3 linked regions of the Oryctolagus cuniculus genome follow. The protein of the gene in region 1 purifies or fractionates together with the protein of each later gene. This does not show direct contact. Links are inferred from orthologs where the notes say so. Each region holds a gene or a part of one and is shown in the gene's direction. Other genes may lie near its edges.

Region 1 (5,232 bases):
AAAGGAAGGAATATGCATTCACTCTGCTTCTAAGAATGCTTCGGGGCGGCGCTGTGGCTCAGTGGGTTAATGCCTTGGCCTGAAGCGCCGGCATCCCATATGGGCGCTGGTTCTAGTCCCAGCTGCTCCTCTTCAGATCCAGCTCTCTGCTATGGCCCAAGAAGGCAGTAGACAATGGCCCAGGACCTTTGGCCCCTGAACCCACCTGGGAGACCCAGAGGAAGCTCCTGGCTCCTGATCAGCACAGTTCCCGCTGTTGCTGCCAGTTGGGGAGTGAACCACCGGATGGAAGACTCTCTCTCTCTTTCTCTGCCTCTCTTCTGTGTAACTCTGACTTTCAAATAAATAAATAAAAAATTTTTTTAACAAGAATGCTTCTATGGTCCAGGCATTTGAATTAGTTCTCAAATTTGGGGATTTGAGGATTTTTAGAAACAGAATGGCCAGTGCTTTATGGGGAAGAAAAGAAGAGCTGAAAATGATTCTGTAGTTCCAAGTCTGGGTGACAGAGGTTCTTAATGGCACTGAATAAACAATGCAAACAGGCTTGCAGTGGAATAGGTTTGGCTTGGGACATGCTATTGACATGACAAGACTAACATGACATATCCTATTTCCTGATTCTTTCTGGGATCGTCCTAGAGCTATGACCATGACTTATGCAACATCAGAACAGGCCTTTCAGGATGCAGTGCCACAGATACCATTCACAGATGCCATATTATGCTCTTCTAGTAACTGGGGAGGTGCTGAAAGACGAGCTAGTTAGTCAAGGGTTCAAATCATCTTCATTGCACAATGTTGACCGAGCACTCACAGGATACCTTAGCCCAGGTACACTCCAAAGACAATATTCATGCCTTCACAGCAGGACTGTAAGTTGTAAATTATAAACTGCAAAGCATCCCTTATTCTGGGGAAAAAGCAACGATCAAGGGGAGAGGGGTTGGTTTTAGACGCTTTCCAGAAACTAACTATGATCTGGGATTTTACCAAAGCATGCTTAAGAGGATCTGCTGCAGAGGGCAACAACCAGCTCAGGTTGTGGTCTTTCACCGGAACTTTGTATAAGAACTGACATTCTGGGGCCAGCATTGTATTGTACGCAGCACAGAGGGTCAAGGCACAGGCAGCAGGTTAAGCTGCCACTTGCAATGCTGAGTCTCCTTTTGAACAGCTAGTCTGAACCCAGGCTGCTCTGCTTCCAATCCTTATTTACTAATGCAGGGGATGATGGCCCAAGTACTTAGCCCCTGATACTCTCTTGCGAGACCAGGAAGGAGCTGAAGCCTCTTGGCAGCATAGGCCAGGCCCTGCCATTGCAGCCATTTGGGAAGTGAGTCAGTGGATGGAAGAAATATTGTTACTCTGCCTTTTGAATAAATACATCTTTAAAAAGAATTCCCAGTCTTGTACAAGTTACACAATCTCTGTGCTTCGAGCGCGTTACCTGTAAAGCAGGCACGCCTCATTCATTAATCCCAAAGCCATGCCTGAAGATTCTTAGCTGCCTGGCCACGTGCTAGCCAGGTTCACAGAGGTGAGGACCAGTTTGGGAAGTTAGTGTTAATGTGCCCACACGACGATTCACAAGCTGGTTTCACAAAGACTTGTACCTACTGTAAAACGTTTAGTACTGTAACTCCCAAAGGGAAATCTGAACAACAGGTTTGCTTAACATGTACCCTACCAAAAACAGGTAAGCGCTTCTTACGTGCCAACTGTTTTAATGCTTTGCCACTAAAGACGGCTTTAGGATGCAGAGGGTCCTAGCTTCCTGCCGGCGGTACAAACGACTTACCTTCCTTTACAGACACACCTGGCCTCAGGGACACAGTAGGCGTGTCTCCTGTTACAACCTCCCTCAAAAAAACCCCTTAGGCCAAGTCACCAGGATTGGGGTGGTGCGGGGCGGGATGGAGGGGACTGTGAGCTCACACTTACAACAAAGGGCTGGGCGCAACAAACTCAAGCGCCTTAGGTCTTCCCCCAAAGCAGGGCAGCACGGGATACCCCACCCAGCCCCAGTCACAGGAGCCCAGAGGCCTCCGCCCTGCTGACAAAAGAGCTGCGAGGGCGCGGTCGCGCGCAACCGGCGTGGCGCAGACACAACAAGGCAGTAAAACCCGCCCCAGCGCAGAGCCACGTGACAGCCCGCCGCGCCCCGCCCCCTCCCCGGTAGGGCTGGGTGCGCCTCGAGAGGGGCGGGGAAGCGGATGGGGCGGGACGGACTGGCGCCGACCGGAAGTGACGAAGCGGCGTCTCTCGCTGCGCGCAGCGACGTGGCGGCGGGGCCGGCGCCCGGCTGCGGAAGTGGCTCCCGCGTTGGGACTTGAGTGTTTGTGTTTTGGTTCTTGAAGGAGCCGGCGGCCGGCCTGAGGGGAGGAGGCGGAGGAGGGAGGAGGAGGAGGAGGAAGAATTCGTCGGAACTTGAGCGCCGGCGGCGGAGGAGGAGAAAGGAAAGAGAAAGGCGGAGCGCGGAGAGGCGGAGACGGAGCCCGGCAGGGGCGGCACCACGGCTCCAGCCCCGCACGGTCCGGTGTGAGGCGAGCGACGCGAGGAGACGCCGCCGTCGCCGCCACAGCCTCCGCTTCGCTGCCGTCCTTCGGGCCACGCTTGCTCCCTGCCGCCAGCAAGCTGCGGTGCCGCGGCCCCGCGTGCCGCAGCCGCAGGTAACCAGACCAGCCTTCCCCTGTGCAGAGCGGGTCTGGAGCTGGGCTGAGCCGCGGTCTCCATCCTGCCCGCGGCTGTGCGGGCGGCGGGGCCCCCAGCACGTCCTCCCCGACTTGCGCCCGTCTCCGGGACCACAGAGCTACCGCACCCGGGCCTGTCGGCCTGCCAGCCCTGGTGACTCATGCCGCCAGGGGTTCTGGTGGAGACCGCGATTTGGGGACTGGGTGAGGGAGCCGACGGGTGTCACCCTCTTCCCTTCTCAAGATGGCGCCGCGGAAAGAGTACCGGAGGCCGTGGTTCCGCCCGGCCTCTCCAGACAGCCCGGGGGTCCCAGGGAGAGCCGTGCAGGTTTAAGGGAGGAGGGTGGCGGGACGGCCCAGAGCCCTGGCGGGTACTGTTTGTTCGGGCGATCCGGAGTCGGCTCTCAGCTGCTCAGGTGTTGCAAGCAGGGACCGGGGCCTAGGGCAGGTGTGGATCTGGGGAGCTCCGCCTACCTTCGAAAGATGGGTAATGGAAGGGCTGGGAGGCTCAGCCAGACAACCGCTCTGGAGACTGGCAGGTGGCGAGCCGCAGCTTTAAGGAAATTAAAGGTAACTGGGCCGCCGTACAGCTCCCTTGGTGGGTAAACCAGGAGACCTGCCCTGATGCTGTCTTCCCTGGGAACTGGTCAGCCCCTCGAGACTTTCAGACTTTTTAAGCTCCTAGCATCCTAGTTTACGTATTTGATTTTTTTTGGCCTGGCTTAAGTGGAATCAAACTGTTACACTACTCCGGGAATATTCTGGACTCCTCAGAAACTTTGTTCTTTTCACTGTCGAATGCAGATAGTTTGAACACTTAGGGTTGTTGTAAGCAAAGTACTTGGTAACCATGCCAGGCACAGAATGAGTACCCAGTGATTTTTTGATCAAAGAGGACCTAAAAAGAGCAAAAGAGCACTACAGAACACTAGTTATTTCCAAGTTTAAAAATGCATACAATGCAAAGTCCTTGTTTGGCAAAACTGGGAGAATTCTCAGTAAGTGTGAATACGAGTAAATGCACGCAGTTTTTACCTTGTTAATATTACGCTGTTTTTGATTTATTTCCTGTTAGAGATCCTTGTAGCATAAGGATTCAGTGGCTTCAAAACTTAGAAGGCAAACGTAAATCACAATTTTGCTTGACTTTTTTATGGGTGTCTGGTGTTTTCCCTAAATTTTCAGAAGTACTGTAGAAATTCAGAACATGGTATCCTTGATAAATGATCAGCAGTTTTGTAGATAAGAGGCTGTTGGGAAGTGTTTCAACTATGTTTATTCCTGAAAGCGAATTGGTGCGTTTTCTGCCTATACGACATTCTATTGGTGTTTGACATGTAACCAAAGGGCCACTTTAGTTGTCCATTCAAACCCTGCTGTATGATAGGTACTGTATTAGAGATTATATATATTGTATCACGTGATTAACTGGCAACTATGCAAATTATGTAGTTTGAAAATTAAAAAATTGGCCCAGACAGAAATTGGTACTACCAGGATTAAACTCCCAAGTTTACTGTGTTTGGGACAGTATGGGGAAGTAGTTTTATTTGTACCTTATGGTGTGTGTTCGTTTGTTTTTAAGATTTATTTATTTGAAAGAGTTACACAGAGAGAGGAGAGGAGAGATCGAGAGAGGTCTTCCATCCGCTCGTCCACTCCCCAGATGGCTGCAACAGCCTAAGCTGCGCTGACTCAAAGCCAGGAGCCGGGAGCTTCTTCCTGGTCTCCCATGAGGGTTCAGGGGCCCAAGGACTTGGGCCATCTTCTGCTGGTTTCCCAGTTCATAGCAGAGAGCAGAATCAGAAGTGGAGCAGCCTGGACTCGAACCAGCACCTGTATGAGATGCCAGCACTGCAGGCGGCAGCTTTATCCTCTATGTCACAGTGCCAGCCCCTGTACCTTATGTTTGGAAGCAGCTTAAACATCATTTCATCTGTAAATATATCAGCATGTACTGTTAAAGACGCTTCAAAGCTGGAGTTTTAGATAAAGCCAAGAAGTGAACTTAATTGTCTAGAATTAAGATATCAATATATTAGTGAATTGTCAATAATATGTCTCATAAAAACTAAAATTTTATAGGGAAGGCGAATTTCTTATATGAGGTAACTCAGTGAAGTATAGCTACATTTTTAGAGAGGAAATCATATTTAGTATATTAGTAAGCATATAATCATATTTTTATTAAAGATGTGAATAGGTTGAAAAGTGCTCTTCAAATATTTGCTAATTCCTTTGAAATTGAAAATTAGCACATTTGGGAGCCTTGGTTGTGGTTGTGATGTAGCAGGTAAGCTGCCACCTTCAGTGCCAGCATCCCATATGGGTGCCTGTTCAATTCCTGGTTGCTGCACTTCCCATCCAGCTCCCTGCTGGGAAAGCTGGGAGGATGGCTCAAGTGCTTGGGCCCCTGTACCCACGTGGGAGACCTGGAAGAAGCTTTTCTGGCTCCTGGCTTCAGTTGTGGCCATTTGGGGGAGTGAACCAGCAGATGGAAGACCTGTCTCTGTCTCTCCCTCTCTCTAACTGAGCCTTT
Region 2 (4,003 bases), on another chromosome or scaffold:
GCGTCGATCCCCAGACTACCAGCATGCGTGACGTATACCGGAAGTTTGACCTGGGCCAGGATGTCATTGATTTCACTGGCCACGCGCTGGCACTCTACCGCACTGATGAGTGAGGGGAAGCTGGTGTGGCGCGGTCCCCTTGCCTGGCCTTTACCCTGCCTCCCCAACACCTGCCCACTGCTCCCTCTGCCTACCCTGCACATTTCTCGTACTCAGCCATAGGCTCCCCTGTTGCCTGTCCGCCCCTCCCCTGCACTTGACCCCCCGGCTCCCCTGGGCCATTCGGGGTGGTGGGGTGAGCCAGGGAGCCTGTTGGAGCATCTTCCCTGACCTCTGTCCCCCCAGCTACCTGGACCAGCCCTGTCTGGAGACCATTAACCGTATCAAGTTGTACAGTGAGTCCCTGGCCCGGTATGGCAAGAGCCCATACTTATACCCACTCTACGGCCTGGGCGAGCTGCCCCAGGGCTTTGCAAGGTGAGAACGTGGCTTTGTGTAGTTGGGATGACTAAGTGGGACTGAGAGCAACAATAGCAATGCCTCCCTTGGGGATTTCCACAGCATTTCCTACTCTGACATCTGAGATGGGGACACAGCCCCAGCACAAAGCCCTGGGAGGCAGACTCAGGAACCTTGAGTCTGCGCTTAGTGGGGAGCTGGACTTTGTTCTGGTCCCTCAGGCTCCTCTTTCTGTGTGGCGCTGGTCCTTCAGGCCACCCTCACACTAGCCCTTTGCAGGATATTCTAGGCATGGAGTTCCAAAGACCACAGTAAGATGGGATGTGACGTTTTTAAAAGATTTATTTATTCCAAAGGCATATATATATATATATATATATATATAGAGAGAGAGAGAGAGAGAGAGAGAGATAGATAGATATCTTCCATCCTCTGGTTCACTCCCCAGATGGTCACATGCCCAAGGCTGGGCCAGGCCAAAGCCAGTAGCCAGGACTTTGTTCCAGGTCTCCCATGAAGGTTCAAGGGCCCAAGCACTTGAGCCATCTCCTGCTGCTTTCTCAGGCCATTAGCAGGGATCAGAGGTGGAGCAGCCAGGACTTGAACTGGCACCCATATGGGGTGCTGGTGTCACAGGTGGTGGCTTTACCCGCTACCCCACAGTGCTGGCCGGGATAAACTGCCGAGGGTCCTGACACCGCCTGCCTGGGGAAGCCTCCTCTATACCTCAGTGGTGGCAGGGCACGGTGCAGGAGACTTGGTCCCCATTTCTCCTGGGAGGGGCACTTGAGCTTCTCTCCCCTTCCCACAGATTGAGCGCCATCTACGGGGGCACATACATGCTGAACAAACCTGTGGACGACATCATCATGGAGAATGGCAAGGTTGTGGGTGTGAAGTCTGAGGGAGAGGTAAGCCTTCCCCAGGCCATGGGGCCATCGTGGTTAGGGCGGGGCTCGCCTACCTCCTCTGCTGCCAGGTCTGCTGCACACCTCAGCCCCAGGGCTTTAGAGCTGAGAACTGGGGGTCCAGAAGCCATTCCTGTTGGCGGGAGGTCCCCTTCAGAGGTGGTGTACTGGGGCCAGTGCTGTGGCGCAGCAGGTTAAACCACTGGCTGCAACGTCGGCATCCCCTATGAGCACTGGTTCCAGTCCCAGCTGCTCCACTTCCGAGCCACCTCCATACTAATAGCTTGGGAAAGCAGTGGAAGATGGTCCAAGTGCTTGGGCTCCTGCTCCCACGTGGGAGAGCTACATGGAGTTGCAGGCTCCTAGTTTAGATCTGGCCCAGCCCTGGCTGTTGTCATTTGGGGAGGGAACCAGGAGATGGAAGATGTGTGTGTGTGTGTGTGTGTGTGTTTCCTTCTGTCACTATGTCTTTCAAATAAACAAATCTTTAAAAGAAAAACCAAAAAAACAAAAGCCACAAAGATCACGAGCTGTGTGTAGTGCAGAAAGCACTGTTGATCACAGTGTGCCTGCAGCCGGGGCTCACCCCATTTCTGGACTCACCTGCCTGCCCTGCCGGCTGTGGCTGTGCGTTCCAGGAGAGTGGAGCCTCTGCCTGCTGCCTGGCCTCGTGCGTGGGCTCAGCCCCACGAGGTTTTAGGGCAGGGATCGGACAGAGGTAAAGCCCTCCGATGCCTTCACAGGTGGCCCGCTGCAAGCAGCTGATCTGTGATCCCAGCTACATCCCAGACCGCGTCCGGAAGGCTGGCCAGGTTATCCGCATCATCTGTATCCTCAGCCACCCCATCAAGAACACCAACGATGCCAATTCCTGCCAAATCATCATCCCCCAGAACCAGGTCAACAGGAAGTCAGGTAGGCCGGGGCACACGTGACGTCCTCCTGGGTGTTCTCTGTGGGCTTGCTCCGTCTCTCCCTGTCAGCCTTGGGGCTCCCCACCTGATCCCTCCACAGCAGAAATGAGAGCCGCGTGACAGTCCCCACGACTTGGGGCCCCAGGGATTGGGTGGCTTGGACTCTTTCTCCTTGGGAGGGTGACAGCCAGGATGCTGCCCATTGTGTGGGGCGGGGTGATTGGATCAGGTGGGCCAGGATCCCATGCAGCCCCTAGGCGCCTTCTCTTTGCATGGTGTTCACTCTGGCCCGTGCTAACTGAGCACTTCCCGTGGCCAGACATCTACGTGTGCATGATCTCCTATGCACACAACGTGGCTGCGCAGGGCAAGTACATCGCCATTGCCAGCACCACAGTGGAGACTGCGGAGCCGGAAAAGGAGGTTGAGCCAGCTCTGGAGCTGCTGGAGCCTATTGACCAGAAGTAAGGGGTTGCACGGAGCCCGAGGGGGTGGGGAGGACCAGGAAGGGCGGGGCCTGTTGCGAGGCTTGTCTCTGCCTCTCAGGTTTGTGGCTATCAGTGACTTGTACGAGCCCATTGATGATGGTTCTGAGAGCCAGGTAAGTGCCTGTCCCAGCCCCAAGTCCCGGCCGCCCACCCGGCCGCCCTGCCCAACTCACCTGAGGCCCTGGGCTCTGGCTGTTGCCAGGTTTTCTGTTCCTGCTCCTACGATGCCACCACACACTTTGAGACAACCTGCAATGACATCAAGGACATCTACAAGCGCATGGCTGGCTCAGCCTTTGACTTTGAGAACATGAAGCGCAAACAGAACGACGTCTTTGGAGAAGCTGACCAGTGACTGCTGCCCCTGCTGCCCCCGCCGCCCCTCCTGCGTCCTGCAGGGCCAGGGAGATGTGCGGCAGCACCCCTGTTTCCAGCATCTCTGCTTCCCCCACCACATTCCTACTACCCACCTCATTGATTCACTGACCAAATCCTTAACCTTAGCGATGGTTTGGGAGATGGGGGGTTGGATAGCATCTCTTCCTTGGCCCTTCCTTATCCTAGGAAAAGACGGTTCCTTTCTTCGTGCGTGTCTCTTCCCCTCGCCCCTAATTCTTCTGCTCTGTCTGGGAAGAACATGGAGGAAAAGCTGGCTTCTGCCCCCACCGCTCTTACTCCTACTGTAGTGGCCTTTGGAGATGCCCCCTGCCTCCCCCCACCAACTCTCGTGTGTTGGAAAGAAGGGGCCCTCCCAGCACAAAATTGCATTCCTTTTCCCCGTAATTTATTCTAATTTATTAACTGCAGCCCACCCCACCTGAGCCTGCATCCTCCTAGAGCAACCTGGGGGCTGTCCAGTGAACTCTCCCAGCCCCTCCCAGTCCTGGCCTAGCCTGGGCAGCCGGGAAGGCTTAGGTGTGGCCCTGGTGGAGTTTGATCTTCTGTTTTGGTTTCTTGTCTGTGTTTGCATTCTCTGGTACTTGAGAGAGAGAAGAAATGAGAGCAAAGCAGAAGGAGGTGGGAAAATGGATCCCGACCCCATGTGCCCTGCCCCACCCCTTTCCTTTAGTGGTGGGAAACCCTTACTTACCTTGCGAAGTGAATGTGTCCCCTTCCCCAACCTCTAGTGTATTTCACGGAAAACAAAGCCTCCCAATAAAACCGTGTTGAAACCTGTGCCTGCGTCTGTAGTTCTTGGCAGGGCCTTGGCTCCCTGCGTTGGGGTCTGACTCTG
Region 3 (4,437 bases), on another chromosome or scaffold:
TAAAATTTCAGTTAGCTTCTACTGATGTACAGAAAGTATTTCTTGACCTGTTGGATACTTGATGAATTGAGTAAGATTGGTTTTTGAGATTATGTTTATATTTGTATAGTAAAGCTAATTTTATTTCCTCATCCTCATATATTATAGTGTAACACATTTTTTAATTTTAAAATTTTTTTAAAGATATATTTATTATTTGAGAGGCAGAGTTACAGAGAGAGAGAGAGAAAGTTTCCATCCACTGGTTTACTCCCCAAATGGCCGCAATGGCCGGAGCTGGGCTGATCTGAAGCCAGGTGCCAGGTAGCTTCTTCCTGGTCTCCCACATGGGTGCAAGAGTTCAAGCACATGGACCATCTTCTGCTGCTTTCCCAGGCCATAAGCAGAGAACTGGATCAGAAAAGAGGAGCAGCCGGGATTCAAACCGGTGCCCATATGGGATGCCAGCACCGCAGGCAGAGGCTTAACCCACTATGCCACTGTGCCGGCCCCGCATTTACATTTTTAACATTTATCAACTTATAGACATAGATTTAGCCAAACATTTAGCATTTAACCATATGGCTCAATTCACAGTATGACAGATAATACTGTTTAAATTATTGTTTTTGTGTTTCTGAGAGTAGTTATGAGAGATTTTGAAAGGTTAAATCAATCCTTTGTATACGTGCTGGAAGTAACTGTCATTCTTACTTATTGACAAACACATACTTCATATAAACCAAGACTGCTTGGATTATAGAGGGACCTTGTTATTGGAGTATTTTAGTGGAAGTACATCACTTATCTCTTTCTTTTTTGGTGGGTTGGGGAGGTCCATCAGTCTGATTTTTTACAACCACCTGGCCTACAGGGGCCTAGTATGTCTTATCATTCAGACTTCTAAAAAATATAGTATAAATTAATATTGAGACTGCTGATATGGTATGTATTATGTAACGTTCTTAGCAGGGTCCAAGAGGCACTCTGTGTCTAAACCCACTAATATTTCTGCAGAGAAATGTACGAATATTCACATTAAGAGGGACAGATAAAGACAGAAGTGCCTTATGTCAGTATGGATCATTTTTACAGTTTTTTGGATTTTGAGTTTTAGATAATCAGTTATGAAGTTGTCATAATATGTACTATAATATTTAAAGGTATACTTTTTTATAAATAATTTAAAATATAACTGAATTTTGTATATTTAGCACTTATCAATTTTCCGCTGTTGCACCTTTTACCTTATTCTCTAAAATATTTTCTTTATACAGCTGCTGTATTCTCGGGGATTGCTCATTGATCTTCTTATCAAATCTAATGTTAGTCGATATGCAGAGTTTAAAAATATTACCAGGATTCTTGCATTTCGAGAAGGAAGAGTGGAACAGGTACTGTGCTTACCAAGTATTGTATCTGGTTATGAGTTGAAGTTATTATGGGTTGTTTTGGAAGGATAAGCAGTAAGATTGTTACTCCTTGGTAAAGCAGTAAATTCTAATCCTGCCAAGTGATTTACAAGTGCAAAGTGTAAGCTTTGCTCAGTTACAGTTTCTCATGTTAATTTTCTCATGAGTTATTCCACAGCTTAATGTTGGTATTGAGAAAGTATTAGTTTCAGGCAGCACTGGTAGATTTAAGCTGTCACTTCTTTCCTGGTAAGGGTGATATGCCATTGGCCTTTCAGTGGCATGAGAAGCAACTTGGCAGAATTAAGAAAGAGAACTCACAAGTTAATTAGCTCTGAAGTTAACAGAGATGCCATTCGAACTAGACAGAGGTAACATGGAATATTCTGACCAGAATGGAAATAATCCTGTATATGTAAGAGAAGAAATTTTTATTTGTAATACTTGTATCATAAAGAAGCAGTTTCTTAATATTGTCATATTTTTTTTCAGGTTCCTTGTTCCAGAGCAGATGTTTTTAACAGCAAACAACTTAGTATGGTAGAAAAGCGAATGTTAATGAAATTTCTTACATTTTGCATGGAATATGAGGAACATCCTGATGAATATAAAGGTATTAGTTTTTATTTAATTGCATTCTCCAGCTATTTGATTTTTTTATGTTGTAGGAATTTATTTTAAATTACCTACAGTTCATTAAAAGGGAATTCATGATAGAAGATACTTGAAGAAAAATGTAGGGAAACATGCTAAATTAACAGTACCTTTAAAACTAATGATTATAGCAAAAAAGTCTTCACATTGAAATTCTGCTTCAGTTATTTTCCCATTTTTTATGCAATTACAAAAGAAAAAGTAAAATCCCTAAAATCTTAATTAGTTTTCATTTTTGGGGGGAATACTCATTTTCTTCTAAAGTATAACCTGTGCAACTCTTTATGCCACAAAATTTTTCAAGTCAAAGACTGGGGTTAAAAAAGAAAACGATGGATATCTTAAAGGGTATAGAGAATATTTGTATTTCTCTGATTTAATGAGCTACTTATTACTGCTTTAAAATGCTTTCTATTCCTGGACTATTTAGTAGGTCATTAGCAACATGTAGTATTTAAAAAACTAAATTAAAAAATGTAATTAAAATACAATTACTCAATCTCACTATCCAGATTTCAAGTGCTCTGTAGCAACATGTGGCTAATGGCTACTGCAGCTACCCTGCCGATATTTTCTTCATTTTACAAATTCTGTACTAGCCTTAAATTTTTAGTGTTGTTAGTTAAATGCTGCTATCAACTGGCTCTTCATAGATGATGTTGTCTTTTGTCACGGTATTTTTTTCTCATCAGAAGTAAGATGTATACTTAATAATTTTCAAGTATACTTATGCTTGGAATTTTGAAATATTCATTTTTATCGACAAAATATAAAAAGGCATGCAGTACATCAGGGAAGCCACTAGATTTGAAGACATGGTTTCTGGTCTTGGATGTGACTCATTTCACTGTGTGATCTAGGGCCTGTTACTTCAGTTTGTTGCACATTCAATGCATCATTTCAGCATCAGAGCTATATACTTTTTTTTCAAAAAAGATTTTATTTATTTGAGTGGTAGAGTTACAGACAGTGAGAGGGAGAGACAAAGGTCTTCCGTCCACTGGTTCACTTCCCAAATGGCTGCATCTGGGCCAATCTGAAGCCAGGAGCTGCTTCTTTGTCTCCCACACTGGTGCCGAGCCCAGGTGCTTGGCCCGTCTTCTACTGCTTTCCTAAGCCATAGCAGAGAGCTGGATCAGAAGGGGAGCAGCCAGGACTAGAACTGGTGCCCATATGGGATGCCGGTTCCACAGCTGCAGGATTAACCCACTATGCCACAGTACTGGCCCCAGAGCTAAACACTTTTAAGTGTGTTCAGCTGAAACTGTTACTCAGAATTGGAATACACTATTGCTAATTTATAAAGTTAAACTGAGAAGTACAGCAGTATTGTTTTTTTCTCTGAAGAAATAATAAGTCTGTTATTGCTGTTCTTGAAGTTTCAAGTCCATATGTTCTCTCAGTGAATTTTTATAATTTTTATTTATAAATGTTTTGCATTTTTTATGAGATTGTATTTCCTACTGCTATCATTCCAATTACATTGTTTTGTGTTCTTAGTTTAGGGGTCTCTTATGTTTTGAAGTGTGATTTTATAACAAGAAGACCAATTCTAGGAGCCATATAGAAACTCGTTTAATTACTTTTTAGTCATAGTTGAGTGCTATAAGTTTTAGTAAGAAGTATGCATTTCATGAATCATGTGTCATTTCATTAGTAAATTTCCATTTTGTCATATTTAATATTTTCAGGTGCAATTTTTGGTTTTATTCTGCAGTTTTTCAAGTTAATAAAGTGAGATTATTGCCAGCTATGGCAACTCATTGAGTTGTTTAATGATTTTCTGTCTTTTTACATCCATAAAATAGAAAACAAAAATTCATCATTTAAAGCATAAAAATTGTGCCAGTGATCTAATATGGATAGTGAGATTGTCTTTCCACCCCAAGATCAATCACTCTCCAAAATTTAATAATAATATTACCACCAGAGTTTTTTGTGAAGTCTTTTAGACAGACTTAATCTCATATTTTTGGGAGTGATTTTAAATAGAAATTTAGGTCCAATTTTAATTGATAAATTTTCATCTTTCTTTTCATAGGCTATGAAGAGATTGCATTTTCTGAATATTTAAAAACTCAAAAATTAACCCCCAACCTGCAATATTTTGTCCTGCATTCGATTGCAATGACATCAGAGACAACCACCACTACCTTAGATGGCCTCAAAGCTACGAAAAACTTTCTTCACTGTCTTGGGCGATATGGCAACACTCCATTTTTGTTTCCTTTATATGGCCAAGGAGAACTCCCACAGTGTTTCTGCAGGTGAGTTTGGCATTGATTCTCTTGTGTCTTCTGCAATTTATACTTAATTAACAAAGGAAATTAGAAAAACCAAAATAAGATTTGTTCAAGATTTCATATATGTGAATATACACTTTGTTCAAGTT

What was found. The genes of interacting proteins can lie anywhere in the genome.
Region 2: the proteins of RAB5A (region 1) and GDI1 purify together in Homo sapiens (affinity purification with mass spectrometry; 3 studies listed by BioGRID and IntAct, counting the BioPlex papers as one, with this or other methods). This does not show direct contact. The link is inferred for Oryctolagus cuniculus from reciprocal best matches to the Homo sapiens genes RAB5A and GDI1.
Region 3: the proteins of RAB5A (region 1) and CHM purify together in Homo sapiens (affinity purification with mass spectrometry; 3 studies listed by BioGRID and IntAct, counting the BioPlex papers as one, with this or other methods). This does not show direct contact. The link is inferred for Oryctolagus cuniculus from reciprocal best matches to the Homo sapiens genes RAB5A and CHM.

Annotation. Positions count from the first base shown.
Region 1 is NC_091435.1:155,565,805-155,571,036, forward strand, and holds the start of RAB5A (ras-related protein Rab-5A), read left to right. Parts: upstream 1-2,163; 5' UTR 2,164-2,178; intron 2,179-2,225; exon of another isoform or gene 2,226-2,360; 5' UTR 2,361-2,672; intron 2,673-5,232. UniProt on the Homo sapiens protein: The small GTPases Rab are key regulators of intracellular membrane trafficking, from the formation of transport vesicles to their fusion with membranes.
Region 2 is NC_091453.1:132,670,584-132,674,586, forward strand, and holds the end of GDI1 (rab GDP dissociation inhibitor alpha), read left to right. Parts: coding exon 1-109; intron 110-345; coding exon 346-477; intron 478-1,270; coding exon 1,271-1,370; intron 1,371-2,110; coding exon 2,111-2,282; intron 2,283-2,600; coding exon 2,601-2,745; intron 2,746-2,827; coding exon 2,828-2,882; intron 2,883-2,971; coding exon 2,972-3,124; downstream 3,125-4,003. UniProt on the Homo sapiens protein: Regulates the GDP/GTP exchange reaction of most Rab proteins by inhibiting the dissociation of GDP from them, and the subsequent binding of GTP to them. Promotes the dissociation of GDP-bound Rab proteins from the membrane and inhibits their activation.
Region 3 is NC_091453.1:64,953,284-64,957,720, forward strand, and holds part of CHM (rab proteins geranylgeranyltransferase component A 1), read left to right. Parts: intron 1-1,256; coding exon 1,257-1,373; intron 1,374-1,883; coding exon 1,884-2,004; intron 2,005-4,086; coding exon 4,087-4,312; intron 4,313-4,437. UniProt on the Homo sapiens protein: Substrate-binding subunit of the Rab geranylgeranyltransferase (GGTase) complex.